Arabidopsis thaliana: one gene and its partners. The protein of the gene in region 3 purifies or fractionates together with the protein of the main gene of each other region. This does not show direct contact. Each region holds a gene or a part of one and is shown on either strand. Other genes may lie near its edges.

Evidence for each region.
Region 1: the proteins of emb1441 (region 3) and AT1G76810 fractionate together in Arabidopsis thaliana (co-fractionation; one large-scale study listed by BioGRID). This does not show direct contact.
Region 2: the proteins of emb1441 (region 3) and AT1G76720 fractionate together in Arabidopsis thaliana (co-fractionation; one large-scale study listed by BioGRID). This does not show direct contact.
Region 4: the proteins of emb1441 (region 3) and AT1G21160 fractionate together in Arabidopsis thaliana (co-fractionation; one large-scale study listed by BioGRID). This does not show direct contact.

The regions. Positions count from the first base shown.
Region 1 is NC_003070.9:28,830,740-28,838,459, forward strand, and holds AT1G76810 (eukaryotic translation initiation factor 2 (eIF-2) family protein), read right to left. Parts: upstream 6,010-7,720; 5' UTR 5,774-6,009; intron 5,645-5,773; 5' UTR 5,572-5,644; coding exon 3,648-5,571; intron 3,563-3,647; coding exon 3,000-3,562; intron 2,913-2,999; coding exon 2,805-2,912; intron 2,712-2,804; coding exon 2,611-2,711; intron 2,516-2,610; coding exon 2,425-2,515; intron 2,338-2,424; coding exon 2,227-2,337; intron 2,130-2,226; coding exon 2,064-2,129; intron 1,942-2,063; coding exon 1,882-1,941; intron 1,800-1,881; coding exon 1,242-1,799; intron 1,143-1,241; coding exon 1,023-1,142; intron 900-1,022; coding exon 783-899; intron 693-782; coding exon 627-692; 3' UTR 163-626; downstream 1-162.
Region 2 is NC_003070.9:28,793,621-28,800,870, forward strand, and holds AT1G76720 (eukaryotic translation initiation factor 2 (eIF-2) family protein), read right to left. Parts: upstream 5,257-7,250; 5' UTR 5,191-5,256; coding exon 3,384-5,190; intron 3,302-3,383; coding exon 2,754-3,301; intron 2,670-2,753; coding exon 2,562-2,669; intron 2,471-2,561; coding exon 2,370-2,470; intron 2,261-2,369; coding exon 2,170-2,260; intron 2,084-2,169; coding exon 1,973-2,083; intron 1,884-1,972; coding exon 1,818-1,883; intron 1,692-1,817; coding exon 1,632-1,691; intron 1,530-1,631; coding exon 1,313-1,529; intron 1,287-1,312; coding exon 973-1,286; intron 882-972; coding exon 762-881; intron 656-761; coding exon 524-655; downstream 1-523.
Region 3 is NC_003076.8:20,307,504-20,314,698, forward strand, and holds emb1441 (zinc knuckle (CCHC-type) family protein), read right to left. Parts: upstream 5,390-7,195; 5' UTR 5,234-5,389; coding exon 5,129-5,233; intron 5,029-5,128; coding exon 4,916-5,028; intron 4,831-4,915; coding exon 4,734-4,830; intron 4,649-4,733; coding exon 4,524-4,648; intron 4,407-4,523; coding exon 3,923-4,406; intron 3,831-3,922; coding exon 3,645-3,830; intron 3,535-3,644; coding exon 3,241-3,534; intron 3,155-3,240; coding exon 3,002-3,154; intron 2,916-3,001; coding exon 2,761-2,915; intron 2,669-2,760; coding exon 2,563-2,668; intron 2,471-2,562; coding exon 1,619-2,470; intron 1,519-1,618; coding exon 1,437-1,518; intron 1,328-1,436; coding exon 1,034-1,327; intron 954-1,033; coding exon 757-953; 3' UTR 530-756; downstream 1-529. Other genes in the region: AT5G49920 (Octicosapeptide/Phox/Bem1p family protein), read right to left, coding at 1-80.
Region 4 is NC_003070.9:7,407,421-7,415,160, reverse strand, and holds AT1G21160 (eukaryotic translation initiation factor 2 (eIF-2) family protein), read left to right. Parts: upstream 1-2,111; 5' UTR 2,112-2,556; intron 2,557-2,679; 5' UTR 2,680-2,705; coding exon 2,706-4,020; intron 4,021-4,112; coding exon 4,113-4,660; intron 4,661-4,742; coding exon 4,743-4,850; intron 4,851-4,944; coding exon 4,945-5,045; intron 5,046-5,141; coding exon 5,142-5,232; intron 5,233-5,312; coding exon 5,313-5,423; intron 5,424-5,531; coding exon 5,532-5,597; intron 5,598-5,721; coding exon 5,722-5,781; intron 5,782-5,892; coding exon 5,893-6,450; intron 6,451-6,534; coding exon 6,535-6,672; intron 6,673-6,752; coding exon 6,753-6,869; intron 6,870-6,974; coding exon 6,975-7,040; 3' UTR 7,041-7,230; downstream 7,231-7,740. Other genes in the region: SEC5B (Exocyst complex component SEC5), read right to left, coding at 3-107, 241-399, 485-612, 696-890, 1,006-1,091, 1,206-1,363, 1,692-2,111; AT1G21150 (Mitochondrial transcription termination factor family protein), read left to right, coding at 7,391-7,740.

The DNA of each region.
Region 1 (7,720 bases), on a different chromosome or scaffold from region 3:
ATCTTATGTATTATTTGCATTCATGCTTTTCACATCTCCATAAAAGGAGGAGCAGCTTGCTTTTAGTTACACATTCCATATTATTACGAAATCAAAATATTTGTTTTCAACAAATAATCTTATAATATACGTATATTTTGATAAACGAAGATGAGCTTTCACCAAAACTTCATGACTGTAACTTGATATTAGATGTGATAATTCATTTTTGTAAGTATTTTCCCTTAACGGAAACTCAAGATTTGACACCACAGAGAACATAGTAATTGGACAAAAACATTTATTCGAATATTTTCCTTTGTCAACAAAAATGGAAATAAGTCAAAAAAAGCATATATAAAGATGATATGTGGTATATCTCAAGACCCAAGGCTCTTCTTTCCCCTGCAATTTGCCAGCATGAAGGTTCATGAACCAATTATTCAGCACTTTTCAGGGAGAAAGACCAAAAAAAGAAAGAAAATAAACCAAAAACAAAAACTCTCTCTTGTCTCTCTTTCAAATCTTCTGTGAAGGCTTCTCCGCTAGAAGCAGGAAGACGAATCTATTTGTTCTGCATCGACGCAGACACGGCATAACAAGGCATGTGAGAGTGTTTCAAGCTCCAAAGTAGACATTTGAATCTCCTACTGTATCTTGAAGATGTTCTTCAGTTTCACTACTAGCTTCCATTCTTCCAACGATAATTCATCCTGCAAATTAGTTTGGGTTTTTGATCTACATCAGTTTTCCTATCAAAATGATGATTTAAAAGGGGAAACAAGCTCATTTTCTCCACTTACCCGGTAGTTAGATTTTAGTATGTCGATAGATCTCCTCGATATGTGACTCACTAGCTCATCTTCCATGTCAAAGTGCCTTCCAAACATCTTCTGTTCTTCAGCATTCGAACCAACAATCTGTATACCAAAGAAACCATCGATTACGAGGCGTGAAACTGAAACCGCAGCAAACATAACTCTTTTCTTCTCTGTAAGCAAAAGATTTGCAACCTTGTTAAAACAGAATGATCCAATTATTACCTTTATTGCCACCTTGTTGCCCTTCTTTGCATAGTCAACAGGCTTGTGGTTATTCTCAATCGAGGCAATTCGGCCAATATCGATGAACTCTCTGCCAGGGACGCAAATGGGGGTTCCAATCTGAAAACAAACAAGACAGATAAGAAAGTGTGAACCCTAGCACTTGTGTCATCATGGGTGAGAGTTACAGAGAATGTAGGAAATTAAAAGCATAGATACCTTAAGTATACCCTCGATGACATCAACTCCAAGGACTATTGGGTCTTTCTTATTGAACACACAGTTAGGTAAAATCTGAAGGACACATGGGAAGACTGCCTCATCGGCTGATTCCTTCTTTTTCTCCTCTTTGATATTCTCAATGTAAGCCTTAAACAGATCAAATAGATGATAGATGATATCAGCGCAGAAGATCTTAACTCCCATTTCGTCTGCAAGTTCACGAGCCTCTGTAGTAACTTTCACATCAAAAGCCAAAATTGTAGCATATTCCTTTTTTCTCTCGAGCATAACTCCTGCCTTCATTACATCCTTCTTATGCACAGGCCCTATGCCAATACCACTTACAGGTATCTTTACAGCTGGGGACTTCAAGTATTCAAGCAATGCTTCTAATGACCCTAATGTAGACGCTTGTACATAAACTCCTTCGCCACTTTTGTCAATTCTGCTCAAAACCGACTCCATATCTTCCATAGCCGACTCCTTAATTGCCTCGATGTCATCATCAGGTCCAACCACATGCAGGGCAGTACCAGCAATTGCGTGTTCAAGGCCCTTTTAAACACAACCCAAAAATGGTTCAGGATGTGATCTAAACATAAGTATATTTAATAAAGAATATAGAAGTCCATTTCACCTGGGCAGTAATCTTGATACCCTGTGCAGCCTTTATTTCTTTGTAATGCAGATAAGTACCCTGAAACATCAGACCAGGAATTCTCATTGTGTATAGAAAAAGAACCTAGGAAGTGATTTGCATGAACCATATTTCTGGGGAATAACAGTAATAAAACACATGAAGTGGAAATCAGAAAGTACCTTCACCCGTAACTCCTTCATTGGATGCGGGGTCAGTAATGCTCTAATTGTTGTGACAATAGGTCCCTGAAATATGAGGAAGAAAATATGATCACTTAGAAAAGTTCTATGTCTACCCAGTGCCATCACTTGTTCGGGTCTGGATCATAAGTTTTTTACTTGCCTGTAGCCCACAAACGACGATTTGATCACCTTCATGGAGTTCACCGTTTACCAACACAACATCAATCGTTGTACCATGGCCTTCAATAACTTTGACCTCAAGTACAGTACACTGTTCAACAATTTCAAGAAAAGATCAGAAATCCGCATGCTGAAGTATTGCAGAAACAAGTGTTACCTAAAGAGAAAGGAAAGAGACCTGCACTTCGTCAACATATGTAAGTTTCTCAACCATTGTTTTCTGAGCCCATTGAACCAACCACAGCAAGAGATCTGGGACCCCTTCTCCACTGTAATATCAAGAACCAACGTTACCCAATTACGTTTAGGATGAATAACTTGTCTGTTACGCTGTATATTACAAACAGTAAATAGAGATTCATACCTAATAGCACTAGTAGGAACAATACTGAAAGTGTCTCCCATGTCTTTATTCTTGTAATAAAGCTCAGTGTTAAGTCCTTGCTCCTGGAACTCGTTTATAATCTGGAATACCAATGAAACAACATAATTTGAACAACATGTACACAAATTGATAGCTCAAACCATACAATAAGAAACTCTAGACCTATAACTTACATTTTTCAGCCTCAAGTTAAATTCATTTATAACATCTTTATTTTGCTGCTTCATTGCCTTCACGATAGGAGCATTCTTGCATGTTTTCCATCCATATAGCCTATCCACCTGGAGGAAGGTGAAGATATTATTTTCCATATAGGTTTTGCAACAGAGAAAAAAATCCCATCCTCGCAGAATGACAATTAGTGTTACCTTATTCAATGCAACAATGAACTCTGTATTCCTCATCCTCAAAAGATTTAGAGATTCTATGGTTTGTGGCTCTAACCCATGCATTATGTCCACCACCAAAATTGCAAGGTCACACAAACTTGAACCTCTTGACCGCAGATTCGTGAAGGACTCGTGGCCAGGTGTATCAATAACTAATAAACCTGGCACCTTGAGTTTTGCATCGGCTTTCAGTTCCTTGGTCCTCTCTCGGATGTTTTCAGCTGGGAAATATGTTGCACCAATCTGCTGAGTAATACCTCCAGCCTCGCCTTCCTGTACATTTGTTCCTCTGATGCAATCCAACAGCTTTGTCTTACCAGTATCGACATGACCCATGATGCAGCAAATGGGAGAGCGGAGATTTTCTTCACCCTCAATAGATTCACTTGGAGCTAAGCCTTTACCCTTCTTAGAGGCATCTTTTGCTCGGGTAGCACGTTTTGTCCGTGTAGCATCTTCCACTTCAGGTGTAGCTTTTACGGCAGCTATTAGTGGTTTGCCTGTACCTGCTGGTTTAGCTGTTGGTTTTTCAGCTTCAGGTTCTGTGTAGAAATGCAAAAGATTAGACAAAAATCAGACAATGGATGGAACACTAGGAAGAACAAAGAACTAAATTTTCATACTAACCTGAATCATGCGCCTTTGATATAGCATCCTTTAATTCTTTCTTAACCACAGGCTGAGCTTCTTCCTCCTCGTCATCAAAATCACCTTTAAGGTTAAGATCGACCGTACCCCAGCTTTTCGCATCCCATTCATCTTCTTCGTCATCTTCCTCAACCCCATTTTCCTGAGCTACATCAGCAGGTCCTGAATTTTCGTCTGTGTTTACTAACTCTATTAAATCAACCTTTCCAGTGTCTGTTAAACCCACTTCACCTAAAGTATCTTGTTCATCTGCTTGATTCTCTTTTGGCTCTACCTCATCTTCCCCCTGAACAGAAGTGTCAATGCCTTTCTGGCGAGATGATTTTTTCTTGTTGGCGTAAATGGGACGCTTTGAGGAAGTAGCATCACCATCATTATCTGCAACAGGAAGACCTCCACCAGCAGCAAGTAACTGGTTCTTAAAAGCCTCCCTCTTTTGAGCTTCAGTCTTTTGCTTTGCTGTTAGAAGCTTGCCCTCTAGCTTCTTCCTCAACAGTTTCTCCTTTTCCTTTTCCTTTCTCTTACGCTTAGCCTCCTCAGCTTGAGCCTCAAGCTCTTCCTGCCTGCGGCGCTCCTCTTCCTCCTTCCTCAATTTTTCTTCTTCTTCCTTCTTTTTTCGCTCTTCAGCTTCTTGCCGACGAGCAAGAGCCTCTTGCATCTCTCTAACATGTTTAGGAATTTTCTTCTCTGCTGCTTTACCCTTTGCATCCTTCTTCTTCGGCTGTAGTGGCTCAGTTACTGATTCTTCTTGTTTTTCCTCCTTAACCTCTACAGAAGAGGTTGCTGCAGCAGCAGCTGCTGCTTTTTTCTCCTTCTCTTTCTCCTTCTTCTTTTTCTTTTTCTTCGCAGCAGCAGTCTCTTCTTCTCCTTCCTTCTCACCAGCATTCTCCACAGGTGCAACTGGCTCAGGCTGAGCTGCTTTCTCTTCTACAGGCGTAGATGAAGCAGGTCTTTCAGCAGCAGGGGTTTCTCCAAGTGCTGCAAGAAGTTTGTCCAAATCTTCCTCTTCCTGTACTGTCCTTCCACTCTTGTTATTCTTCTTCTTTTTCTTACTCTTTCCAGTTTCCACAACCTCCACATTCTTAGTATCAGAAGTTTTAGTTTCGTCTGCAACTGAGTCATCACCTACTGAGGCCAAAACACTGCCGCCCTTCTTTTTAGAAGATTTCTTCTTACCTGAAAACGTTACTTCAGGGCTCTCTTCATCTTCAATTGTATTTTCGTCGTCTCTAGAGTTTGAAGCATCAGTCCCTTCTTCTTCATCGAGCAAATCAGCGGTAAACGAGTTAGTGTTCTTCTTCGAAGACTTAGATGACTTCTTTTTCTTACCAGAGAAGGTGATAGGAGACTCTTCTTCCTCATCTTCGTGCACTTCCTCTGTATCATCATCATCACTACCAAGTGCATCAAAAGCTGAAGCGGCAAATGAATTACCGCCTTTTTTACCCTTCTTAGACGCATGCTTCTTACCCGTAAAACTTATAACTGGCTCATCATCTTTGTCACCATCAGATTCATTATCCTCCTTCTCATCTTCATCATCAAGCAAGGCAAAGCTAACAGAACCACCGCCCTTCTTACCTTTCGACTTCTTCTTCCCAACAAAAGCTATCTCAGGAACATCGTCTTTCACCCCCGCAGCCGAAACCTTATCAGAAAAATCATCATCATCATCCTGCTGCGTACCCTTCTTATTACCTTTCTTACCCTTCTTCTTCCCAGTGATAACAACAACCTTCTCTTCCTCAACTTTAGACTCCTCAGACAACTCAGTACCTATTGAGTACTCATCGTCATCAATTTGAGCACCTTTCTTCTTAGATTTAGTAGCACCAACGAGAGATGACGCAGGAGGTTGCTGCTCAGCATCTCCACCTCGAGCACTCGGCTTCTTCCGCCCCATTGGAAAATTTCAGGTCTGGTTCAGAATTGGTTCCGAATTCTTCCGACTAATCAATAAATCGAGGTGAAATTTCCTACAATTCGAACGGAAACAAATTAGGTTTTCTGGGATCGGCACAACACAATCCTTTTAGAAAATGAAACCACAAGAGAGACGAGGAAGCGATACTGTGGCTAAGAGGAGAGAATCGAAGAAGCTTTACCTTATTCCGGAGAGGAATTAATCGATAGGCTGAGCTAAGTTTAGAGAGAGAGAGCGCGGCGCGGAGAGAGAGAGAGAGAGAGAGAGAGAGTAGAGAACCGAGAAATAGCGAAGCTTTGAGAAACCGGCGTGAAGCTTCCTAGGGTTGAGCTAAACGCTGTGTAGATTTTACCGATTCTAATAAAAAAAAATTGTGACGTTTGTTAAATACTATTTTTTTCTCCGTTTTCTTTCTCGATAGTGTTATTTTTTCTTTTAAAATAAAAGATATGTCATATTCTTTGTTATAAAATGTAATTTCTGAATGGGATTCAACAGTTGTAATTTTCACGTTTTAATATACTGAAATCTAACTTATATAATTAAGACACATAAATTTTATTAATATGGACTAAAATAAGGGAAATCAGCATGATTTAGCTGTTTAAAGTATTCATTTAAAAAAATAATCTTCTCGCGTTATGATTTGTTTGAAATACTTTTCTAAAACATATCCGCATCCAATGTTTTTTGTTTTTGGAAGTTTTTAAGAGAGAGCTTTGTTAAGGCATGAGCTTCTCGATTCGTTTCTCTAGGAACAAAAGAAAACGTAATTGCTTGAAAAGACCTAGGATTGCCACTCGCGTGCAAGGGAGATTGCTTGAGACCGGGTTTCTCTCGGAGAGTCGTGGCGGTCGTTGAAAATTTTCTAGTTTCGGGCAAGTCAGTGAAGTATGATCTCACTCCAGCTCAGGTATCATGGAACATGAACCTTTGGCTTATCTCTGATCTTGACTCATCTCTCTCCATCCTCAACAATGGACACATGCTTCTTTAGCTGACTTTTGTTAGATAGGCATAACATTCATGCTTGTGTGGTTTAGTAGAAACACTTTTCGACTGTCTATGATTGATTCAGCCATTCAGGTGAGAACGGGGCAGATATATTATTCCTTTTTCTTTTGCTTTTGATTTTGTGAATTTGGGCTTGTTAGAAGAAAATGATTAATGTTTGTAAATTGGGTTTTGAATATTGGGCTTGGGAGAGGAGCTTTAATAATTGGGCTAATAATGGATTGGAATTAGAGTTGAGAAATTAGATTAAAAAAAGGATTAGATTAGTGATGAAGTAAGAGTTTTTGCTCTCTCTCAAACGGCTCGCTTTGATTACTCACGTAAGGTAAGCTTCTTCGATTCTCTCATCTCCTGTGTCCTTTGTGCCGATCCTCAAAAAAAACTAATTTTTTTTTACCTGGATTGATTGATTAGCCGGAAAGAATTTGGAACCGGCTCTGTAATTTATCCATGGGTCGGAAGGAGCCGAGTTCTCGAGGTGGAGATGATGAGCAACCACTTGCGTCATCTCTCGTTGGTTCTAAATCTGATAAGAAATCTGTTCAAATTGATGATGATGAATACTCAATATGTCTTGAGGAGCCTAAAGTTGAGGAAAACAAGGTTGTTATCACTGGGAAGAAGAAGGGTAAGAAAAGGAATAAGAAGGGTACGCAGCAGCAGCAGGATGACGACGATGATTTTGCTGATAAGTTTGCGGTGGAGGAAGAGGTTGTTCCGGATAATGCTTTTGTAGGGAATAATAAGAAGTCGAAAGGTAAAAAAGACGGTGGCTCTGTTAGCTTTGCCCTGCTTGCTGATGAAGATAACAGGGAGGAAGCAGAGGATAATGATATCACGTTTTCAGGTAGGAAAAAATCATCTAAAAAGAAGAGCAGCAGTGTCTTGGCCTCAATAGGTGATGAAGAAAGTAGTCAATCTAAAACTTCTGATTCTAAGAGTGTGGAGCTTGTAGAATCGGCAAGGAGTAAGAAACATAAGAAGAAGAACAAGAGTGGAAGGACACTTCAGGAAGATGATGATTTGGACAAGCTTCTGGCAGAACTTGGAGAAACTCCTGCTGCTGGAAAGCCTGCTTCCGAAGAAGAGAAAGATCAAGCTCAGCCTGAGCCAG
Region 2 (7,250 bases), on a different chromosome or scaffold from region 3:
TGAAGATATATACTAATAATATACTGTATATGATGATTGTAGCTCGGTTGAGTTAACCCTAATTAAGGTTTAGTGTGTAGACCGGGTTCAAGAGGCCTCTATATAAGTCAGAGTCTGTAACAAACTCTCTTTAACGAAATAACATGCTTTATATGAGAATTTAGAATTTCAATAAGATTATATAATTTCAGTATTACCTATTAAGAGTTTTCTTGATATTGGCTAAATTAATTAACAGGGTTACAAATTTCAGCCTAATATAGTTATTAAAAAAACGAATCAGGAAGATAAATCCCTTCGTTATGCAGCAGACACGACGTAACAACAAGGCCCGCGAGTGTTTTAAGCTCTAGAGTAGACATTTGACTGTTCAGGGAATCTTGAAGATTCTCTTCAGTTTCAATAGGAGCTTCCATTTCTCTGTCGACATTTCTTTCTGCAATTGTTATTGGTTTTAATTTCGAGCATTTGTTTTGGGTCAGAATAATGAGTCAAAGAAAACGTAGATGGGAAACAACTTATCTTATCCTTGACTTACCATGTAGTCAGCTTTGAGTATGTCGATAGATCTCCTCGAAATGTGACTCACAAGCTCATCTTCCATGTCAAAATGCCTTCCAAACATCTTCTGTTCTTCGCGATTTGAAGCAACAATCTGTTATACAACCAGAGAAAAGCATCAAGTTGAAACCTCAACAACTTTTGTCTCTCTCTCTCTTTCTCTATACAAAGGTTGTTGAAGGGAATGATCCCCTTATTACCTTAATCGCCACCTCGTCGCCCTTCTCTGCATAGTCAACAGGCTTGTGGTTGTTCTCAATAGAGGCAATGCGGCCAATATCTGTGAACTCTCTGCCCGGGACGCAAATGGGGGTTCCGATCTAAAACAAACAAGACGAATGTTAAAAGGATTGAGAATCCTTGGACATGTGAGCAAGTTACCGAGAATATAGCAGAGTAAGAATAGGATACCTTAAGTATACCGTCGTGGACCTTAACTCCAAGGATTATTGGGTCTCTCTTATTGAACACACAGTTAGGTAAAATCTGAAGGACACATGGGAAGACTGCCTCACCGGCTGATTCCTTCTTTTTCTCCTCTTTGATATTCTCAATGTAAACCTGAAACTGATTGAATAACTGATAGATGATATCAGCGCAGAAGATTTTTACTCCCATTTCGTCTGCAAGTTCACGAGCCTCTGTAGTCACTTTCACATCAAAAGCCAAAATTGTAGCATATTCCTTTTCTTCTCGAGCATCACTCCAGCCTTCATTATATCCTTCTTATGCACAGGCCCTATCCCAATACCACTGACAGGTATATTTACAGCTGGGGTCTTCAAGAATTCAAGCAATGCTTCTAATGACCCTAATGTAGACGTTTGTACATAAACTCCTTCACCACTTTTGTCAATCCTGCTCAAAACCGATTCCATATCTTCCATAGCCGACTCCTTCATTGCCTCGATGTCATCATCAGGTCCAACCACATGCAGGGAAGTACCAGCAATTGCGTGTTCAAGGCCCTTTTAAACACAACCCAAAATATTTAGGATATCATCTAAACGTCAGTATATTTAATACCAGCTGCTAGTGACAAAGATTATAGTAGAGTTAGTCCATTTCACCTGGGCAGTAATTTTGATGCCTTGTGCAGCCTTTATTTCTTTGTGATGCAGATAAGTACCCTGCAACATCAAAACAACACTTTTTGATGTGTGTTAAAAAAATTGACATCGGCAACAATTTGCATAATGTATGTTACTCGAGGAAAAAACAGTAACAAGAGACATGAAGTGGAGATCTAAAAGTACCTTCACCCTTAACTCCTTCATTGGATGAGGAGTCAGTAATGCTCTAATCGTTGTGACAATAGGTCCCTGAAATATGAGGAAGAATAAGCTCACTTTTCTAAGTTCTATGTATACCCAGTGCGTTACTTGTTTGGATCATTAGTTTTTTTACTTGCCTGTAGCCCACAAACGACGATTTGATCACCTTCATGGAGTTCACCGTTTACCAACACAACATCAATCGTTGTCCCATGGCCTTCAATAACTTTGACCTCAAGTACAGTACACTGTTCAACAATTTCAAGAAAAGATCAGAATCCGCATGCTGAAGTATTGCAGAAACAAGTGTTACCTAAAGAGAAAGGAAAGAGACCTGCACTTCGTCAACATATGTAAGTTTCTCAACCATTGTTTTCTGAGCCCATTGAACCAACCACAGCAAGAGATCTGGGACCCCTTCTCCACTGTAATATCAAGAACCAACGTTACCCAATTACGTTTAGGATGAATAACTTGTCTGTTACGCTGTATATTACAAACAGTAAATAGAGATTCATACGGCATGAATCATACCTTTTAGCACTAGTAGGAACAATACTGAAAGTTTCTCCCATTTCTTTATTCTTGTAATAAATCTCAGTGTTGAGTCCTTGCTCCTTGAATTGGGTTATAATCTGGAATACCATAGAACAACATAATTTGAAAAATATGTACACAAAGTGATAGCTCAAACCATACATAAGAAACTCTAGACGTATAACTTACATCAGTCAGCCTTATGTTGAATTCATTCGTAACATCTTTATTTTGCTGCTTCATTGCCTTCACGATAGGAGCATTCTTGCATGTTTTCCATCCATATAGCCTATCCACCTGGAAAGTGAAGATTTTATTTTCCATATAAGTTTTGCAACAGAGAAAAAAATCCCATCGTAGCAGAATAACAAGCAGTCTTACCTTATTCAATGCAATAATGAACTCTGTATTCCTCATCCTCAAAAGATTTAGAGATTCTATGGTTTGTGGCTCTAACCCATGCTTTATGTCAACCACCAAAATTGCAAGGTCGCACAAACTTGAACCTCTTGACCGCAGATTAGTAAAGGACTCATGGCCAGGTGTATCGATAACCAATAGACCTGGCACCTTAAGTTTTGCATCCGCTTTCAGTTCCCTGGTCCTCTCTCGGATGTTTTTGGCAGGGAAATATGTTGCACCAATCTGCTGAGTTATACCTCCAGCCTCACCTTCCTGTACATTTGTTCCTCTGATGCAATCCAACAGCTTTGTTTTACCACTATCGACATGACCCATGATACAGCAAATAATAGAACGGAGATTTTCTCCACCTTCTTTTATAAATTCACTTGGAGCTAAGCATTTACCCTTCTTAGCACGTTTTGTCTGTGTAGCAGCATCTTCTACTTCAGAAATAGCTTTTACCGCACCTGTTGTTAGCTTGCTCATACCTGCTGGTTTAGCTGTTGGCTTTTCAGTTTCATGGTCTGTAACAGTTCAAAAAATTAGATTAAAAACAGACATTGGATAAAACACTAGGGAGAAGAATTAACTACATTTCGTACTAACCTGAATCATGTGCCTTTAATTCTTTCTTAACCACAGGCTGAGCTTCTTCCTCTTTATCGTCAATTTTAAGATCAACATTATCCCAGCTTTTTGCATCCCATTCATCATCTTCCTCAACCCCATTCTCCTGAGCTACATCAGCAGGACCTGATTTCTCGCCTGTGTTTGCTGACTCTAGTAAATCAACCTTTTCAGTGTCTTCTGAACCCACTTCACCTAAAGTAGCTGCATGGTTTTCTTGTGGCTCTACCTCATCTTCCACCTGGACAGAAGTGTCATTGCCTTTCTGGCGAGATGGTTTTTTCTTGTTGGCATAAATGGGACGCTTTGAGGAAGTAGCATCACCAACATCATCTGCAACAGGAAGACCTCTACCAGCAGCCAGCAGCTGGTTCTTAAACGCCTCCCTCTTTTGAGCTTCAGTCTTTTGCTTTGCTGTTAGAAGCTTGCCCTCTAGCTTCTTCCTCAACAGTTTCTCCTTTTCCTTTTCCTTTCTCTTACGCTTAGCCTCCTCAGCCTGAGCCTCAAGCTCTTCCTGCCTGCGGCGCTCCTCTTCCTCCTTCCTTAATTTTTCTTCTTCTTCCTTCTTTTTTCTCTCTTCTGCTTCTTGCCGCCGTGCAAGAGCCTCTTGCATCTCTCTAACATGTTTAGGAATTTTCTTCTCTGCTGCTTTACCCTTTGCATCCTTCTTCTTCGGCTGTAGTGGCTCAGTAACTGATTCTTCTTGTTTTTCCTCCTTAGCCTCTACAGAAGAGGTTGCTGCAGCAGCTGCTTTTTTTTCCTTGTCTTTCTCCTTCTTCTTTTTCTTTTTCTTCGCTGCAGCAGTCTCAACAGTCTCTTTTTCACCCTCCTTCTCACCAGCATTCTCTACAGGTGCAACTGGCCCAGGCTGAGCTTGAACTTTCTCTACTTCGGGTGTCGATGAAGCAGGTCTTTCAGCAGCAGGGGTTTCTCCAAGTTCTGCAAGAAGTTTGTCCAAATCATCCTCTTCCTCTAATGTCCTTGCAACCTTATTCTTATTCTTCTTCTTTTTCTTGATCTTTCCAGTTTCTATAACCTCCACACTCTTAGTATCAGGAGTTTTAGCTTGACTAGTTTCGTCGGCAACTGAGTCATCACCTAGTGAGGCCAAAACAATGCTGCCCTTCTTTTTACCGGAAAACGTGATTTCGAGGCTCTCTTCGTCTCCCATTGTCCCTTCTTCCTCGTCAGGCAAAGCAACTTTATTAGTGGTCTTCTTAGAAGATTTGGAGGACCTCGTTTTCTTACCAGAGAAAGTGATAGGTGAAACTTGTTCCTCATCTCCATCCACTTCCTCGTCATCCTTATCACCACCAAGGGCATCAAAAGCTGAAACCGCAAAGCCTTTTTTACCCTTGTTAGACGCATTCTTCTTACCTGTAAAACTTATAACTGGCTCATCATCTTTGTCCCCATTAGATTCATTATCATCCGTTTCCTCCTTACCAGAAAGCAGGGCAAAGCTAACAGAGCCACCTCTGTTCTTACCTTTGGACTTCTTCTTCTTCCCTACAAAACCATTCTCGGGAACAGCCTCAGTAAAATCATCGTCGTCATCATGCTTCTGCGTAACCTTCTTATTACTCTTCTTCTTCCCAGTGATAACAACTTTCTCTTCCTCAGTATTTATGGAGTACTTATCTTCTTCATCACTTTGGACAGCTTTCTTCTTGGATTCAGCACCAACGAGAGATGACGCAGCAGGTGGTTGCTCATCATCTCCACCTCGAGAACTACTCGGCTTCTTCCGACCCATTGGTTCCGAAATCTTCCAACAAATCACCATGTATATTGTGATGACATCTTTTTATATGGCATTACCGAATCAAGCTCATGAATCTTTTAATTCAATTTTTTAATCATGATATTCTTAAATTTATTTTAAATCTTATCTTATTGAATCTAGCATTTGTTAAAATCATTCAAAATCTAGGATTTACAAACATTTATTAAAATCTCACCTTACTGCAAACTCAAAGATTTCATTCTAAAAAAGAGACCAAAATAACTCATAGTTAAAACTATCTTCAAATAAAGTTATTTTTGACATATTTAATTATTATTTTATTATATTAACTCTTTTATATATATATTGAATATTAATAAATGTAAAATATAAACTTAAAAAAAAACCGAATCTCAATCTAAACAAAATTTACTTTAACTATTAATTAAATTTTTACTTTAAAATAATCAGTGTAATCACATTAATCAAAGACCTTTTCATGTGCTATCAACATTAATCATTTTCTTCTAAAAATCCCAAATTCACATTAAAACCCAAAACCAAAGAAACAAAGGCAAATATACATACATGGCACACAACTGCAATATCAATATGACTGCATCTGCATGGTATATAAATTATACAAACGGGATTTGAATAAGTAAGAAACTGCTACAGAGATACCTCTGATCTCACCTGAATCAATCATAGCCAGTCATAGAGTGTTTCTCTGCGGCAGGAGGTGGGAAGCAATAGTTGAATTGTTCATCTCCAAGTTTGAATTCTTCCACGTAGGGGCTCTGTGGTTCCTAAGATTATCCAACAAGAAAACAGTTTACCTTTCGATTTGAACTTTTTTGAAGAGACTCAGACTGATTCAGAGTGCTTATACTATAAACACAGGCATGAATGTTATGTCTATCTAACACAAGTCAGATAAAGAAGCATTTATCTATTGTCGAATATGAGATGAGCTTAGTGAAATAGAAAGATCAAAGATAAGTAAAAGATTCATGTGAAATGATACCTGAGGACCAGAGCTCAAGTGAGATGCTTCACTGGATTTTGGTGACGTGGAGGTATCCTCATCGTGGTCCTTTCCATTTCCGTTTAACTTTTTGAGATTCATTATTTGCTAAAGGATCACTCTCATAAGCTGTGAAAAGTTAAATCCTTGAGGCCTCTACTAATTAACACCAAGTTACGTTTTGAAACACTATCCAAAACATCCAATATAAGCAGAAAATACAACGCACACATTTCCACTCATACATAGAAAATTAACAGGAACAACACCAATTCCAACTCTCATTCCGCAGTGTTTCATTGAAAGTAGCTTCCTCTATATGTTACAAACTTACAATACACAAATCTTATCAGTTATCACCAAAGTAAGTGATTCCAAGAATGAAAATTGTTAAAAGCTCAATCTTTTCTGAAATCTCAACTTACCTGCAAATTTTGTCACAAGGGAGAAATTTTGGTTTTATCAATTTCTGGGATTTTAATATCTACACAATTTTATTGGGAAAGGAAGAAACTTGCTTCTACAAACGAAACCACCGGAAAACTGAAGAAGGTTTGGTTACCTGAGAGTTTGAGAGAGAGAACACGACGACGACGAACAAAAGACGGCGTTAAAGGTATTTTTCACGGCGTTAAGAATTAACTGTTCACTGTGCTCTGTCTCTTCCGCTTGTTTCATTTACGATTGGGCTTTTTCTGGGCTTCCTTGTTGGGTTATTTTGTTTTGTCGTCAAACTGTTTCATTAATTTTAAAAAAGAGTACAAGAGTGACCAAAGCCCAATTACACAACATCAAAGCCCAACTATAAACCCAACAAAAAATTACAACTAAATAAACCATTATTTTTATTTTTGTTTCTTGCTTGTGAATTGTATATTCGATTACAAATTTTGAGATGGCAAAACAAAACAAAACAAAAAAAGGTTAAATTATAGTATAGTTTTATGAAATTCTTTGAAAAATGTCACATTCTTTTTTTTTTATCTTTATAAAGGTCACAATATATTTAATTATTAGATATACTTAAACATATGTTGTGACTTAACTAATTACTAGATTTAACATATAATCTATTTAATATTAGATTATAATA
Region 3 (7,195 bases):
CTGTCCGATGGTCTAGGGAGGATTCTGCCGCCAAAACTGCACATGAACTTCACCTTACTCGGCGATCTCTCCTCCGCCATTGATGTTTTGTAGCACTTCTCTTTTGGCTTTTGGTTATTGTTTGGAGGGGACAGAGACGAAATCAAGAATAGTTTGAAGGACAATTTTCCCTCCCAAAATTGCAGATTTTTTTTTTAGGTTTTGGTAAAATCAAATCAAATAGTAAAATATGGAATAAAAGATCGAATGCAAATTGAAACCCCGATACTTAAAAATTGATGCTCTTATCTCTTCCTTCTTCGTGTAAGATAATGATTTGGAGATGTTTGAGATAATGTAGAAATGTAATAGTTTTGATGAAGAAGGAAGAAGAAAGAGGAGAAGAAGAGAGGTTTGATCAAATTGTAATTCGCAAATTATTTCTGAGTTCTCTACAAAACAAGAAAAAATGAAGCAGAAAAGGTTTTAAAAGCAAAAAAAACAGGAGTAGAAGAATCCATGCCGTAGGATTTAAAAGCTTATTTTGAGATTGTTTTCAGCTATTTATGGATTTTACTGATAATGAAATGTATTAGTTCATAACTAGAGCTCTCTTTAGCCAAAATTTACTAAATTTTCAAATCACTTTGATTCTGATAATATTTGGGCTGTAACATGATGTTTCGTTTTTGCAAGAGTGAACATACAAAGATATGAACCAATCTGCTATATGTTTGTAAAAGCCTTCTTCGCTGCAACGCAGCAGTTACCTAAAACCTAGCTATGTTGTTGTTTCCCGCTTTTCTTGCCCTTCTTCTGTTTCTGCTTCAACTGCGTCAAACCTGCTGCTGTGATCTTCACATTCCCGACAAGAGCAGCCATCAGCTCCGGATCCGTACAAGCTTTCATCAACTCTTTCTCCCTTACTGACGCCTCCGACATATGTGTGAACAGATTCATTGCAGTTTTTGCAGCTGTCCAAACACAAAAGTCAACATCAATACAGTCCAAAAGCTCTACATTTACAACTACTTGGAAGAGAATGTGTTGTTACCTTTTCCTTTCTTCATGCTGCCTGGAATCGCTTTGACTCTGTATTTATATGACTGGAGAGCATTGTAGGGGCCGCACACGGGGACCGCATATAAAAGGATGTCGGTTGGTAACGGGTTACCAGTAAGGTAATCGACATCAATCAGTTTTTCTTTCTCTTCGTCCCCAACTTCATGAATATCGTCTTCTTCCATCACCACTTTGTCCATGTCTGAAGTTTCTTTCCCATGACAATCCCTAGCAAGATGTCCAACCTTCTTACACCTGTAACATATTTTCACAGCATCGTCTGTCTCTGCACAGCAACCCAAAGCAACTATCAGTATCATATGGTTCCAGTCTAATGGAAAGTGTATGCCCGGAAACAATTTCAGAAGAAAAAAGACAAAATTGAAATTTTTTACCTTCAGAAGGTTTCTTCACTTCAGTGACCGCGGTTTTTGCATTCTGTGATTCAACATCAGTCTTCTGTGGCTTTCCAGACGACTGCAAAGGGGAGACAAATTAATTTACCAGTTATGAAGTACTGATAAGAGAACAATGATGGTCTATGACAAAAAATGGAGAATCCAAGGGAAGTACTTACTGCCAACAATGCCATCCGTATTTTTCTTTCGTCTTCATCTTGATCAGCATACTTCTCCTTCATTTTCTTAAGTTTACCCCTTTGCCCACGGCTAACTTTTTCCCCAGCTGGCTTGTTATCAGGTATGCTCTTGGTAGCTTGGCTTAAAGAAGAAACGTCTTTTTCCTTTCGTTGCTGCTTTTCTTGCCCAGTGTTACCATCAGCAGCTGTGTTGCCGCTTTGGCCCATCTTAAGCTTTCTTCTTTCAGCTTTTGACATATAAGGCTTATCTCTCACTACTGCATTCTTCTCTTCCTGTTTCATCTTCTCTTCCATATCATCTTTTGATGTCTCTATTGTATCTTTCTTGCCTGCCACCGTTGCAGCACCAAGACCAAGGGTTCTATCAAGAAGATCTTCAAGCTGTGAGGTGGCTGATGCAACATTTTCTTCAGTAATACCAGATGAACTCATGTCTAAAGAAGAAGTATCTTGGCTCAATGCCGTACTTGATTCCTGCAAATCAACTTCTCCTGAGGCAGAAACCACTTCATTCACTGCTTCGTTCTCTGACTCAGTATCTGAATGCTCATCAGGAGCATGTGTTTCCATGACTACATCATTCATTCCTTCCTCTTCCCCTCTTACCCTTCTCTCATTCAAATGAGCTCCCAAGGAGCTCTCGTCCAAACGAAACAATAATCCAAAACCCATGATGAGTGGGTGTGGTGGAAGAAAGTTTTTCTTACCTCGTATCATGAAACTTCCAACTGTAAGGTATTCCCCAGTAGGAGCTGTTTTAGTGACCTGATGAGGATAAACCCACCATGCACTAGTAACAATCTTGGAATCCCAGGCCTGACTATGACAAACCTGCATCATATTATATCCAAAAGTCTGCCATCAAGACATTGCACCATATTCACATAATTCAAACAACCAAAATAGTAGATGAAATTGCTTACCGTAAAACATCCAGCTTGGTTTAAAGTGAGAGGCGGTACATTTTGTTCAGGTTTATGATTCTTTATCACAGTACTAGATGCTCCATGAAGCTCTGCGTGTACATACCTAAGAAAGCATGGTTAAAAACTTATCATCATCTTTGAATATTTAATACTAACACAAAGACTAGATAAATAGTTCTATATATTAAAACTTACAGATCTCCTTTTGACATGTAACGTTTAACTATCATCTCATTTTGCTGAGCATCACGACCACTGATGACCAAGTAGTTTTCACTGCTAATGAACCAATTAAATTTCTCAAACCAGTGGACTTTTCTCATGTGTGAAATCGTTGCAACCACTTTTTCCTTTCAGCCAGAAAAATGCAAATGATTAGTTGACTGCGAGGAAGAAACATTAAACAAGATTAACAGCGACGAGGTTGGAAGCTTACCTGAGAAAGTTGGTGGCGGGTCTTTTTCTCAGCTGCTCTAAAAGCCTTTTCATGGGCAGAAACAGTCTTCTCCTGTTTGGTTTCTTGCTTCTTCTTCATTTCATACCAGCGCCTAGCATTACCATGCGCAGAAAGTGATAAGTCAACCTCCACCTACAAAACCACATCGTGCTCCATATGTCAGAACAAGAAAGAAGATGAGCTTTGTATATTCAATCAAAGTGAGGAGAGATCAACACCTTTTCCACTGGAACCGTCTTCTCATCATCATCCATTTCATCGAGATTGTTGCACAACAACAAGGTCATGCAATTCTTCTCCAGATAAAGTCTGTCAATGACTCCAGCAACAGGATTTCCTAATTTTTTTTCTTCCTTGACCATGCGAGCTAGATCATCCCAGCCCATACCCTTTGCAAGTGCTACACGAACAGCTAATATGGCAGCATCTACATCTTCTAAGTTGTACTCGATTAATTCCGCCATATTAACACAATGGTTGACTTCTTTCTTCAGAATTTGAACACGGTTCTCCTAAAACACAAGTATAGAAACATTGCAATTAAGATAAGTTTAAAGAAAAGTTTTACAGAGATATATGGAAATGGAAGTTCCAAACCAGTACATTAATAAATACTACAAACCTGATCTTGGCGAATCTTATTGAGTTTCAGACTGGCAGAATCTTCTTTTGCCTTTTGTTGTTGTTCAGACCTTTGGCTCTCAATTTTGCTGTAGAACTCATCTAAAGCCGCATCGAAAGTTTCAAACTTTTCATACACTCTTGATTTGAATTGATTTAGTAAGATTGAACAGAACTCATCATACATCTGTAGGCAACCAGGCAAACGAAAATTCAATACATAAAATCCATTGCCATTAAACAATACAAAAATGAAGAAGCATAGAGTAAAATAGTGACCTTTTTAACACCTCCTGATTCAGAAGTCGTGTCATTTGCCAAAATTTGTTTTTGCATTAGAATATAACCTTCAGGAACTTTTTGACCATTTATAATATCTTCAAGCCAATCTTCAAAAACGATCACCGCTTGAACCAATAACTGAATCTCATTATCATCTAATTTCTTGTCTTCTGAAAGTTTGGTAGTTGGAACTAGACCAGCATCCAGAATAATGTGCTCTGAGAGCTGTGGCCCATAGCCTAAAGCGTCACCAAGAATATTCTTCAATGTATATTGTTTGGCACCCGTAGAATCATTTGACTTCCCACCCTTTTTGCCACCATTCTGCTCCTTCGGTTCAATCTGTTTTGCGTCATGATCCTTAAGCACGAAAGCAGTAAGTGATTCCTGAAGCTTTGAAACAGTTGTTCTCTCAAAGACTCGACATATCTCTATCGGGTAACGGTGACGAGACATAATAGCAAAACCCTTATTGTCATCTCTACAGAAATAAAAATCAATCATTCAGTATAAAAAGCCACACGAACAAAAGCACTTTGAGCAGTTCAAACATAGCAAAAACAAACGATCTGATAAAAGTAGAGTAACAAAAACAAACCTATGAGAGCGGAGGAGTGTCATGATCATATACTCAGAATCAGTAAGAATTATGTTTCCTTGAGCATACAGCTCCAATATAACATAGTGAGCATTAGCACCTAGCCCAAACTGGAAGACAATAATCTGGTACAAACAACAAAAGTTAAAACCAAAAAACGCAATAAATGGCAACCAAACAAAACACAATAGAAAACTCCAAGTTCCATACCCTATCATAACCAAGCTGTCGAACATCCTCAAGCCTCCTAGTCCTGATATGTTTCCTCAACTTCAAAGTAAACCCAGATGGAGTATTACTCTTATCCCTACACAAATTTGTGAGAGAAAAAAAAATCATTACTTTACTACTTCCCCAAAACAAAAGCTCAAAATCTAGAGATGGGTTTTTACCTGACATAAGCTGTGGTATGTAAACGAACACCACTTTCCATTAAAAGCAAAACTTTCTCACTTTCACCAGATTCTGTGATACCGCTACTATTCAAGAGCTTGAACATATACGTCTGTAGAAGAAATTGGAGCAAAATCAAAACATAAACCCTAATGGAAATCGAATCAAATGAATCAGGGGATTTGAAGCTTTTCATTGTAGAAATTTGTTACCTTGGGAGATATATCATAGACGTTGGAGCATCTCATACCGATTAATCGCTTCAAGCACTTGACTTCGGCGGCGACGTCCGCCGTGTTCATTCGTACCTTCACCATATCTTAGTCTCTCTCGAAATTTCGTGATTCAGTGTCGAATCGAAGAAAGGTTTTAATCTGTTTGTCAAAGTTAGAAATTAAAATTCGGTCTGTGCTAAGCTGTGAGAAAAGAGGAAGAAGGAGAAGAGAAATTTGTGAGCTATTCATGTGTGTTGGGCCGACTAGAAGGGCCTATAAGCCCAATATAAAAGACGATCATTAGTTATCTAAACCAATCAAAATTACATGCTTTTTTAAAACCGGTTAGTCTAATACACTAATTAGAGAAGTTTTTAATTTGTCTCAGTTTGAATATTGATAATTGATAAATAATCCACATATAACAGTTGTATGTATTATTTATGAACAATAAAATCTATGCAGCAAAAATAAAGTAACTAAAATATTCAACTCCTATTCAAGAATCAAATTGATAGAGTAAGCTGCAATTTATGGTGAAAGTAGTTTTACCATAAGGTTTTCTCCTAATTATTTTAAGAATATATTTATTTCCCACAATTGGTTAATAAAATTGTGAATGAATACATTTTTTTTGTCTACAACTTGTATTATTGGGTTTAGACTCGAAAATGACACATTGATAACATTTGCACAAATAACTAGATCATATGTTTTTGTCATATTTTGAGCACAATTTGTGCATATTTCAAGCAAATTTTGAACATATATCAAATCCGTCATAACCAATTAATGTTATTATTAGTACTTGTTTTCATTATAATAATGACGTCATAATCAATACTGAACGTACCAGCGAAATGATGGTACATATCGGCTTTAAAATAGTATTCACCAAATATTGCTGGAGGCTTGTAATCTTTTTTGCTGAAGACAAGTCAATTAGGGCCATTTCCATTTGACTAAATCTATTTGTGCCTAATGGAAAAATAGAGATATATACTTTAAGTTGATGAAGCTTTTCGTTTGCTTTTATGTTCCTAATGGCAACGGTATCAACTCGATGATTTAGACTCTTAAGGAACTTTACCATATCTTTATGGAGAATTAGGAAGTTTGTGGTGTTGGATAAAGGGTAGAAGGGAGGAACCGCGAAAAAGAGTGTTCTTGTGAATGGATACACACAGAAATACTATGGATTCGGGTTTTTTTCCTGCTCACAAGATGAACAGTGAATAGAAGTGGTAGAGAATGTAGATATTAGTTCTGTTAAAGCTGAATGTGTACAAAACAATATGGAAAGTTAGATAAATAAGATCTTTAGGTCGGACCAATTGTTAGAAGCCAAAAATAATCTCTAAACTCTCTTTATTAAAACTGAGAAAATGATAGCGTAACAAGATTAGAGTAAAACTCCTCAAAGAGAAACTACGTCCTCTTCTCCTCGGCCTAATTCGACAGAATCCTCCAAAACTCTCAATTGCTTGGATGCTTTTCAAAAACGAGACTACATCCTTATTTATAAGTAAACGTAAACAAGCATTCAAAGAAAATAAGGAAAAATAAAAAATTATAGGCAACTTCCTAAATCTAAACAGAAACGTTGATTGTTTTCCAATTCACAGATTGACTTGTTCTTGATTATTCTTTTTCCACATACGTGAATAAACAATCCACGGTTTAGACTTCTAGAAACATTCATATCAGATACTTCAGTTTTTTTTTTCACTTTTTTTTTGTTGTTGTGCGAAATCAGATACTTAACTATACGACATATGCAACTATGCAAATCTGAAATGTACTTACAGTTTGTTGTGAAGACGAAAAGCAAGATCACGATTATGATTCTTGAACTGATCATCATTCTTTTCTTTTCCTCTGCTTATAACTAATGGCTCAAGTTTCTTCATTTTGGTTTATGTGTATTATTTTATTAAATTACGATAGAAGAAATTAGGAATTAAAGTCTAACTACTAGAATCTGCAAAATCAGATCATATATTGTTTTCCTAATTTAGTTCAAGGCCAATCTCTACTAGAGTCTGCAATATTAGTGTGCAGGAG
Region 4 (7,740 bases), on a different chromosome or scaffold from region 3:
ACACTCGTAAAATCTATTTTCGGATCTTCCATAGACCTGTAAAGGGTGCCTTTAAACTCCTGCATCACTTTCTCAACCTCCTCGAGTACGCGCTTGAGTAAATTTACCTGTAACCAAAGTGTTACTCTATGCTTTCAAGAGCTTTGTAATGCAAGTGAATAATATGGTAACAAACAAGCGAATACTAGGAGAAACATGAGTGCTATCTGTCTGAAGAGTTGGATAATCGGGCATGCATACATGAGAAGGGAGAGCAATAGACTTCGCCTTCTTGTATTCCCGAACAGCCAAATCATACTCGCCTTTGCTAATACTACTACGAATTATACTGGGTAAATTGAAGAGTGTACGGAATCTCTGAAGCATTCCTTGTACAGACCTGATCTTCTCAGCTTGGGCCTATGAATAATGGTGAAAACAGTCTAAGCAGATAGCAAGAGGCTAGGAAAACACCAAAAAAACAATAGTACGTGACCATACAAACCTGTCTCTCAAAAAGTGGCTCAAAAGCACGATTAGCCCGTGATGTCACACTCTTCATACAATTAAACAAATGAGTAGTTCCCGATCCGTCTGGGTCGTCTTCAATCCGTTTCAGTTTTGATTCAATATCTGTAAAGAAAGGCAGTAATGTTCACATCAACAAGAGAGAAGAGTAAAGTTCAAAATAGATAATTGAGTGTAATAATGCATACCATCAATTGTTGTTTTACACGAGACAAAGCAGTCAAAATTATCTTTCACCAATTGTTTCCTTTGTAGATTACGGCCCTTTAAGTCACTTTTCAGGGCAAGGGCCCCAGATTCTAAGTCTGCTGCACTTGTCTCTTGGTGAATGCGAGAAATAAATAGCTTGGGATCGAAATGGTCAGAGGTGTACACCAACTTTTCTGCAAATTCTCAGACCAGTTAAAGTTAGAAAACCGGAAGTTGTACATCGAGTAATCCCGCATAAAGTTCAAATCAAACTCCAAATTCCAAGTATGGTCATGAAGAAATACATACCCCTAAGTGCATTATCCACTTTCTCAGCTTTTGAAAGACTTTCAGATGACTCAGTGATTAATCTCAGTGTCTTGTTATCTATTATCCTACAAGGTACACAAAAGCCATATTTAGATACCCCCTAACATACAGTGTTCCCCGAGATAGACTAAGGTATTCGAATGACGGTAGAGGTGAGCAGCACAAACGAGAGGAAGTACCCCAATTTTAGCGGATCAATGCATTCCATGCCACGAGGGAATGATTGCAAACTGGTAAGAACCACTTTCTTGTCAGCTCCAGATACCTTTCTATCAAGGTTCTGAGTCACGGATGGTGCTGTTCTCGACTCCCGCATATCACGAACCTTGCGTGCAAGCTGCCAAATGTCATTAGCATTTCAGTAAAAATGTTCATATTTCCAACTAAATTTTTCGTCATGCCATGATTCTAAAATAACTAATGGCCTTGAGCTGAGGTCTTCTACACCTCAATTCCATGAACAGATAATTAAAGGCCATACAACTAATATCACATATACGAATTGATTCAATTTCAAATCTTCAAATCGATCAAAGAAGCAAAGATTACTTAAGACTACTTCAAATCAAAACAATGCAATTGAAATTCGTAGGTCGAAATTGCACACATAATCTCTCCAAAATCAATTTAAAGCCAGATAAATCCAAACATGATAGAAACCGTACCTCAGCTTCATTAACCCGTTTCCAGCAATCTGGCTCCACTCCATCCCAAGCTCTATCATCTTCCTTCCGCGCTCGTCCTCTCTCCTTACCACTTCCACCTCTTCCTCTACCTCCGCCACCGTCACCACCACCACCTCTTCCCCGATCATTTCCCTCATCTTCATCCCCGCTCGAAATGCTAAGCAATTCCACCTCCGATTCATCATCCTCATCCATCGATGGCTTCCTTGACGCCTTCGCACCTCCCTTAGACGGAGGAGCTGCCGCCCTCTTTTGTCTCCGTGGCTGCTGCACTAAATTGGTGACTGGCTTACGGGAATTAGCGGAAGGAGGCTTCTGATAGGTAACATCTCTCTGAGATTGCTCCTTCAACGCCATTTGAAGTAGCTCATCTTCATCTAAATCATCACTGCTAGACATTGTTATCTCTGACTTAGATGATCGTCTTTGTCTTCCTCCCTTGAGCTAATCGCAGAGATCTGTGCAGTTCTTATTTGAATTTAGTTTTGTGACTTTTTCCTTTGAAGAATTTTTCTTCTGTTTTCGACTTTTTCCAATTTCCATGTATTAATGAAATAAAAACTGGAGACTCACAAAACGCAGTCGTTGATTATTTTAACCTAAAAGTTATAAATTCTCCTTACTCAAGCTTTCTTCTTCGATCGAAATTTATAAATACGACGCGACAAACCTGAATTGCGTTCAGAAACCCTAAAGCTCTCAAATATATCTCTGCAACGAAAAGAAATCACCTGCTTACTCTTCTCCTGAAAGACCTGATCTTCTCCGGTGAATTGTTTTTTGTTCCGTCAATCTTCCGAGTTTGTTTTTGCCTAATATGAAGTTAAACCCATTACAGAAAAAGGTAATCTTCTCTATCGCTCTGAACATTGTAGTTGATTTTGTTGATTTATTGTTGTTGTTTCTAGAGTTAATGATCGGATACCTTATTGTATGTTTTGTTTTCGGTATTGGGGGTTAATCACAGGCTATATTCATATTTGATTTCTATCAATGGATCCGAGGAATTCGAGTGCGTGGGGTGGGGGTGATGGTCTCCCCCTTATCTCATCCATGGGAGGTGTTGAATCAAAGAATAGATGCTGTGTGACTGACGACGATGGCTCTATTGGTACGAAGCTATGTGAGAAACCTAAAGCTGAGGAGATTGATTTTTCTGCTCGGAAAAAGAAGTTGAAATCGAAGAAAGGCGGGTCTGTTAGCTTTGCTCTTCTCGATGTTGAAGATGACAAGGAGGAAGCAGAGGATGGAGACGACAAAAATCCTTCTATTAGGAGTGATGAGGTGGTTGGAGAAACTTCAATGAGTAAGAAAAAGAAGAAGGATAAGAGTGGCAAGCATGGGGTATGTGAAGAAGATGATGATGCGGACAAGATTCTTGCTCAACATGGGATAACAACTACTGTTTCAACAGGGCCTGAAGCGGAGATAGCTCTAGCTCAACCTGAGCAAGTTGCATCTGCAGATGGGGCTGTTGACAAGGACGGAGAAGAAAAGACTGTTGAGTCAGCTACAGCGAAGAAAAAGAAAAAGAAGAAGGACAAGGACAAGAAAGCAAGTGCTTCTTTAGCTATTTCTTCTGTGGAGGCTAAGGAGGATAGACAAGGGAAGAAAGATGTAAAGATTAAAGTAGCGGAAAAGAAAGTTCCTAAACATGTTCGAGAGAAGCAAGAGACTCTTGCGCGGTGGAAAGAAGCTGAAGATGGGAAGAAGAAGGAAGAAGAAGAGAGATTGAGGAAAGAGGAAGAGGAGCGCCGTATAGAGGAAGAGCGAGAAAGGGAAGCTGAAGAGATTAGGCAGAAGAGAAAGATCAGGAAAATGGAGAAGAAGCAAGAAGGCCTGATTCTAACAGCAAAGCAAAAGCGTGATGCTGCTAAGAATGAGGCTTTCAGAAAAAGGGTGTTGACTGATGCTGGAAGTCTTCTTGTTGCAGATAAAAACGGTGATTCCTCAAAACGTCCCATATATGGCAATAAAAACAAATTAGCTTGCAAAAAAGCAAACGATCCTGCTTCTGTCCAGGCTAAAGGTGATGGGGAAACCAAGGAAAATCATGCAGCAGATGAACCATGTACTTTACCTGACTTGGTTTCAGTTGAAGATAGAAGGGTTGGTATTATCGAATCAGTAGACACAGAAGAGACACATGAATCTGTTGATGTATCACAAGAGAATGGTGATGAGGAAGATGTGTGGGATGCAAAAACTAATTTTACCATCAAGGGTGATTCTGATGATGAGGAGGAAAAACCTCAGCCTGTGTTCAAGAAAGGTTTAAAAGACACTGCATCAAAGGCACATGATTCAGGTCAGTAGAAACACCCTAGGAAGAAGAACCTCAGCCTGTGGTTTTATTATCTTTTGTCTCTGATTTATCTAATATTTTGGGTTTCAATACAGTTCCTGGCGCAGATAGACCAACAGTGAAGCCTGGAGGTTCTGGCAAGCCAAAAACAGCTGCCAAAAAAGCTATGCCTAAGGTGGATGATACTACCCGGCCGAAAGATACTTCTAAAAAGGATGAAGGCTTAGTACTGAATGAACTTGCTAAAGAAGTAGAAGAAAATCTTCGCTCTCCAATTTGCTGCATCATGGGTCATGTTGATTCTGGTAAAACAAAGCTGTTGGATTGCATCAGAGGAACAAATGTTCAGGAAGGTGAAGCTGGAGGTATTACTCAACAGATTGGTGCAACCTTTTTCCCTGCAGAAAACATCCGTGAGAGGACCAAAGAGTTACAAGCTAATGCTAAACTCAAGGTGCCAGGTATATTGGTTATCGATACACCTGGACACGAGTCATTCACAAATCTGCGGTCAAGGGGTTCAAATTTGTGTGACCTTGCAATTCTAGTGGTTGATATAATGCGAGGTCTAGAGCCACAAACCATAGAATCTCTTAATCTTTTGAGAAGAAGGAATGTAAAGTTCATTATTGCCTTGAATAAGGTGAGACTTCTTGTCATTCTGTTGGCATGTGTTTGGTATCTTTATTGTCACTGATGTATGGCACAAAACCTCCAAATTTCAGGTGGATAGGCTATATGGGTGGGAAAAAAGCAAGAATGCTCCTATAAGGAAGACAATGATGCAACAAACGGGAGATGTGGTTAAGGAATTTAAAATGAGGCTAAACCGAGTAAGTTCTTCGTCTAAAGGTTTTAATCTTTTAGTGTGAATGGGATGTGCGTGTTCTAAACTTATTAACTAATATTGTTTCATTTGTGTTCCAGGTTCAAAACCAGTTCCAAGAACAAGGACTCAACAGTATGCTTTATTACAAGAACAGAGAAATGGGAGAAACTATCAGTATCCTACCTGCTAGCGCTATTAGGTCTGAAATGTTTTTGCTATCTCCAAATTTTAGTCTAACATAGAGGTCAACCATGCTAACTAACTAATTGATTAATGTTGGATACTGATATTTCAGTGGGGAAGGGATTCCAGATCTTTTACTGTTCTTGGTTCAATGGGCTCAGAAAACGATGGTGGAGAAACTTACATATGTTGACAAAGTGCAGGTTTGTCTCATTCCTCTTTTAGGTAATGAATCGTTTCTGCACTACTTCAGCTTTCTTATCTTTTCTTAAAATGGTGACAGTGTACCGTCCTTGAGGTCAAAGTTATTGAAGGCCATGGTATTACAGTTGATGTTGTTTTGGTCAACGGTGTACTCCGTGAAGGTGATCAAATTGTTGTTTGTGGGTCACAGGTAAGTAGAAAACTCATGGGTCATACCTAAACATGTAATATGCCAAGTATATCATAAAACTGGAGACTTGATGTAATTGGTTTATTTTTTTCCTTTCTTCTATTTCAGGGACCAATTGTAACAACTATTAGATCATTGTTGACTCCTTATCCTATGAACGAGATGCGGGTGACGGTACTTTCAGATAGTCCATTTCTTGCCTCTTGTTATTATTATTCCTAGGGAAACATGGTTTATGCAAATAGCTTTCTACATTCCTTTTTCGTACACAATGACAATTTTTGGTCTGATATTTCAGGGTACCTATATGCCTCACAGAGAAGTAAAGGCTGCGCAGGGTATCAAAATTGCTGCACAGGTGATTGTCTCTGACATTACAATTACTTTATTCTTACCTTGATCTTAATTACTTAGCACAAATGAGGACATCCTGAACAAATGTTTCCTATATTTTTGGTGTTTATAAAAGGGCCTTGAACACGCCATTGCTGGTACTGCCTTGCATGTGATTGGACCTAATGAGGACATGGAAGAAGCCAAGAAAAATGCCATGGAAGATATTGAGTCAGTTATGAACCGCATTGACAAAAGTGGTGAAGGCGTTTATGTACAAGCATCTACATTAGGGTCCTTGGAAGCATTGCTCGAGTTCTTGAAGTCCTCAGATGTAAAAATACCTGTCAGTGGTATTGGCATAGGACCTGTGCATAAGAAGGATATCATGAAGGCCGGGGTAATGCTAGAGAAGAAAAAAGAGTTTGCAACGATTTTGGCCTTTGATGTGAAAATAAGTGCAGAAGCTCGTGAACTTGCAGACAAAATGGGAGTAAAAATCTTCTGCGATGATACCATCTATTGTCTGTTCGATAAGTTTAAGAGTTACATAGAGGGTATCAAAGAGGAGAAAAAGAAAGAAACAGCTTGTGAAGCAGTTTTCCCATGTATCCTTCAGATTTTACCAAACCATATCTACAATCAGAGGGACCCAATTATCCTTGGAGTTAAAGTCAATGATGGAATACTAAAGGTATATGGTATTTTCTCATTCAGGATCTGAGTACACTTTTCTGCTGGATCACAAAGATCTAACAATACGGTCTTGTTGATTTAGGTTGGAACTCCCATTTGCATTGTTAAAAGGATTGAGAATGTAAGAGTGTTTATGGACATTGGGCGCGTCTCATCAATTAAGAATAACAACAACATGCCAGTTGATTATGCAAGGAAAGGACAGGAGGTGGCTATTAAGGTATGAGATCCCTCTTTTTGTCATCATTTTTCTAGTTTTTACTGCCTTTCCTTAAAAACTAATGTTTGTTTTCGTATTAGATCATTGCTTCTAACCCAGAAGAACAGAAAATGTTTGGGAGGCACTTTGGTGTAGACGACAGGCTTATCAGTCACATTTCTAGTCGATCCGTGGACGTAATCAGAACTAATTACTGGGTAAGTTGTATACAGTCTTTCTTGCCCTGGGTTGTCAAAAATGTTGTTTTAACATTAGCTTGTGTTTTAGTAAAGCTTAAACTGATATTCGAAACCTGATTGCAGAATGAGTTATCTAACGACGAGAAGGATCTTGTTTTGAGACTTAAAAGGATATTCAAGATACAATGAAGATTTTTGAGATTTGAGAGTGAGGGACTTAAACTTATGTATTTTTTTTCTTTTTTTGAAGTGCTGATTTTTTTATTTTTTTTTCGTTTTTAATAATATAGACAAACAACTCCTTTAATGCCCCTAAATACTTTATGGAAGCAATTGTCTTTTGTTTTTGGCTACCAATATTTTACAAAATATTTTGATATACATATAATTTACAAGATAATACCCAGACTGGCTTATTGTGTAACTTAATAACATTTGAGGCGAATCTATGAATAAAGAGAAATAAAGGACCTATTCACAGATTCAGACAACATCGTCGCATTTTGATTTTGAATCGATTATTTTACCTACACTCGTGTATGAGCCAGTCCTCCGGAATAAGACAACATCTCCAGGAGTCTCTACGAAATTCTTCGGCTCTCAAAGGTATTCACGACGGTCTTTTAGCTCTATTCTCTATTGAGAACCTGATTTTTCCGGTGAATTTTGATTATTGCAAAGTTGGAGAATTTTTGAGATTTAGAAGAGATACTGGCTTAGGATTCGTATTCATGTCGAGCTTATTACACTGTAGAAATGTCGTAGATTGTGCGTTTACTTCTTCCACTGTTCGTCGCATTGTCAATTTAGGGTTTTTAGTGGGTAGAATAAGAACGTTGTGTTCAGTGTCACAAGTGAAATCAGAGAATCTCGAAAAGCAAAAACCATG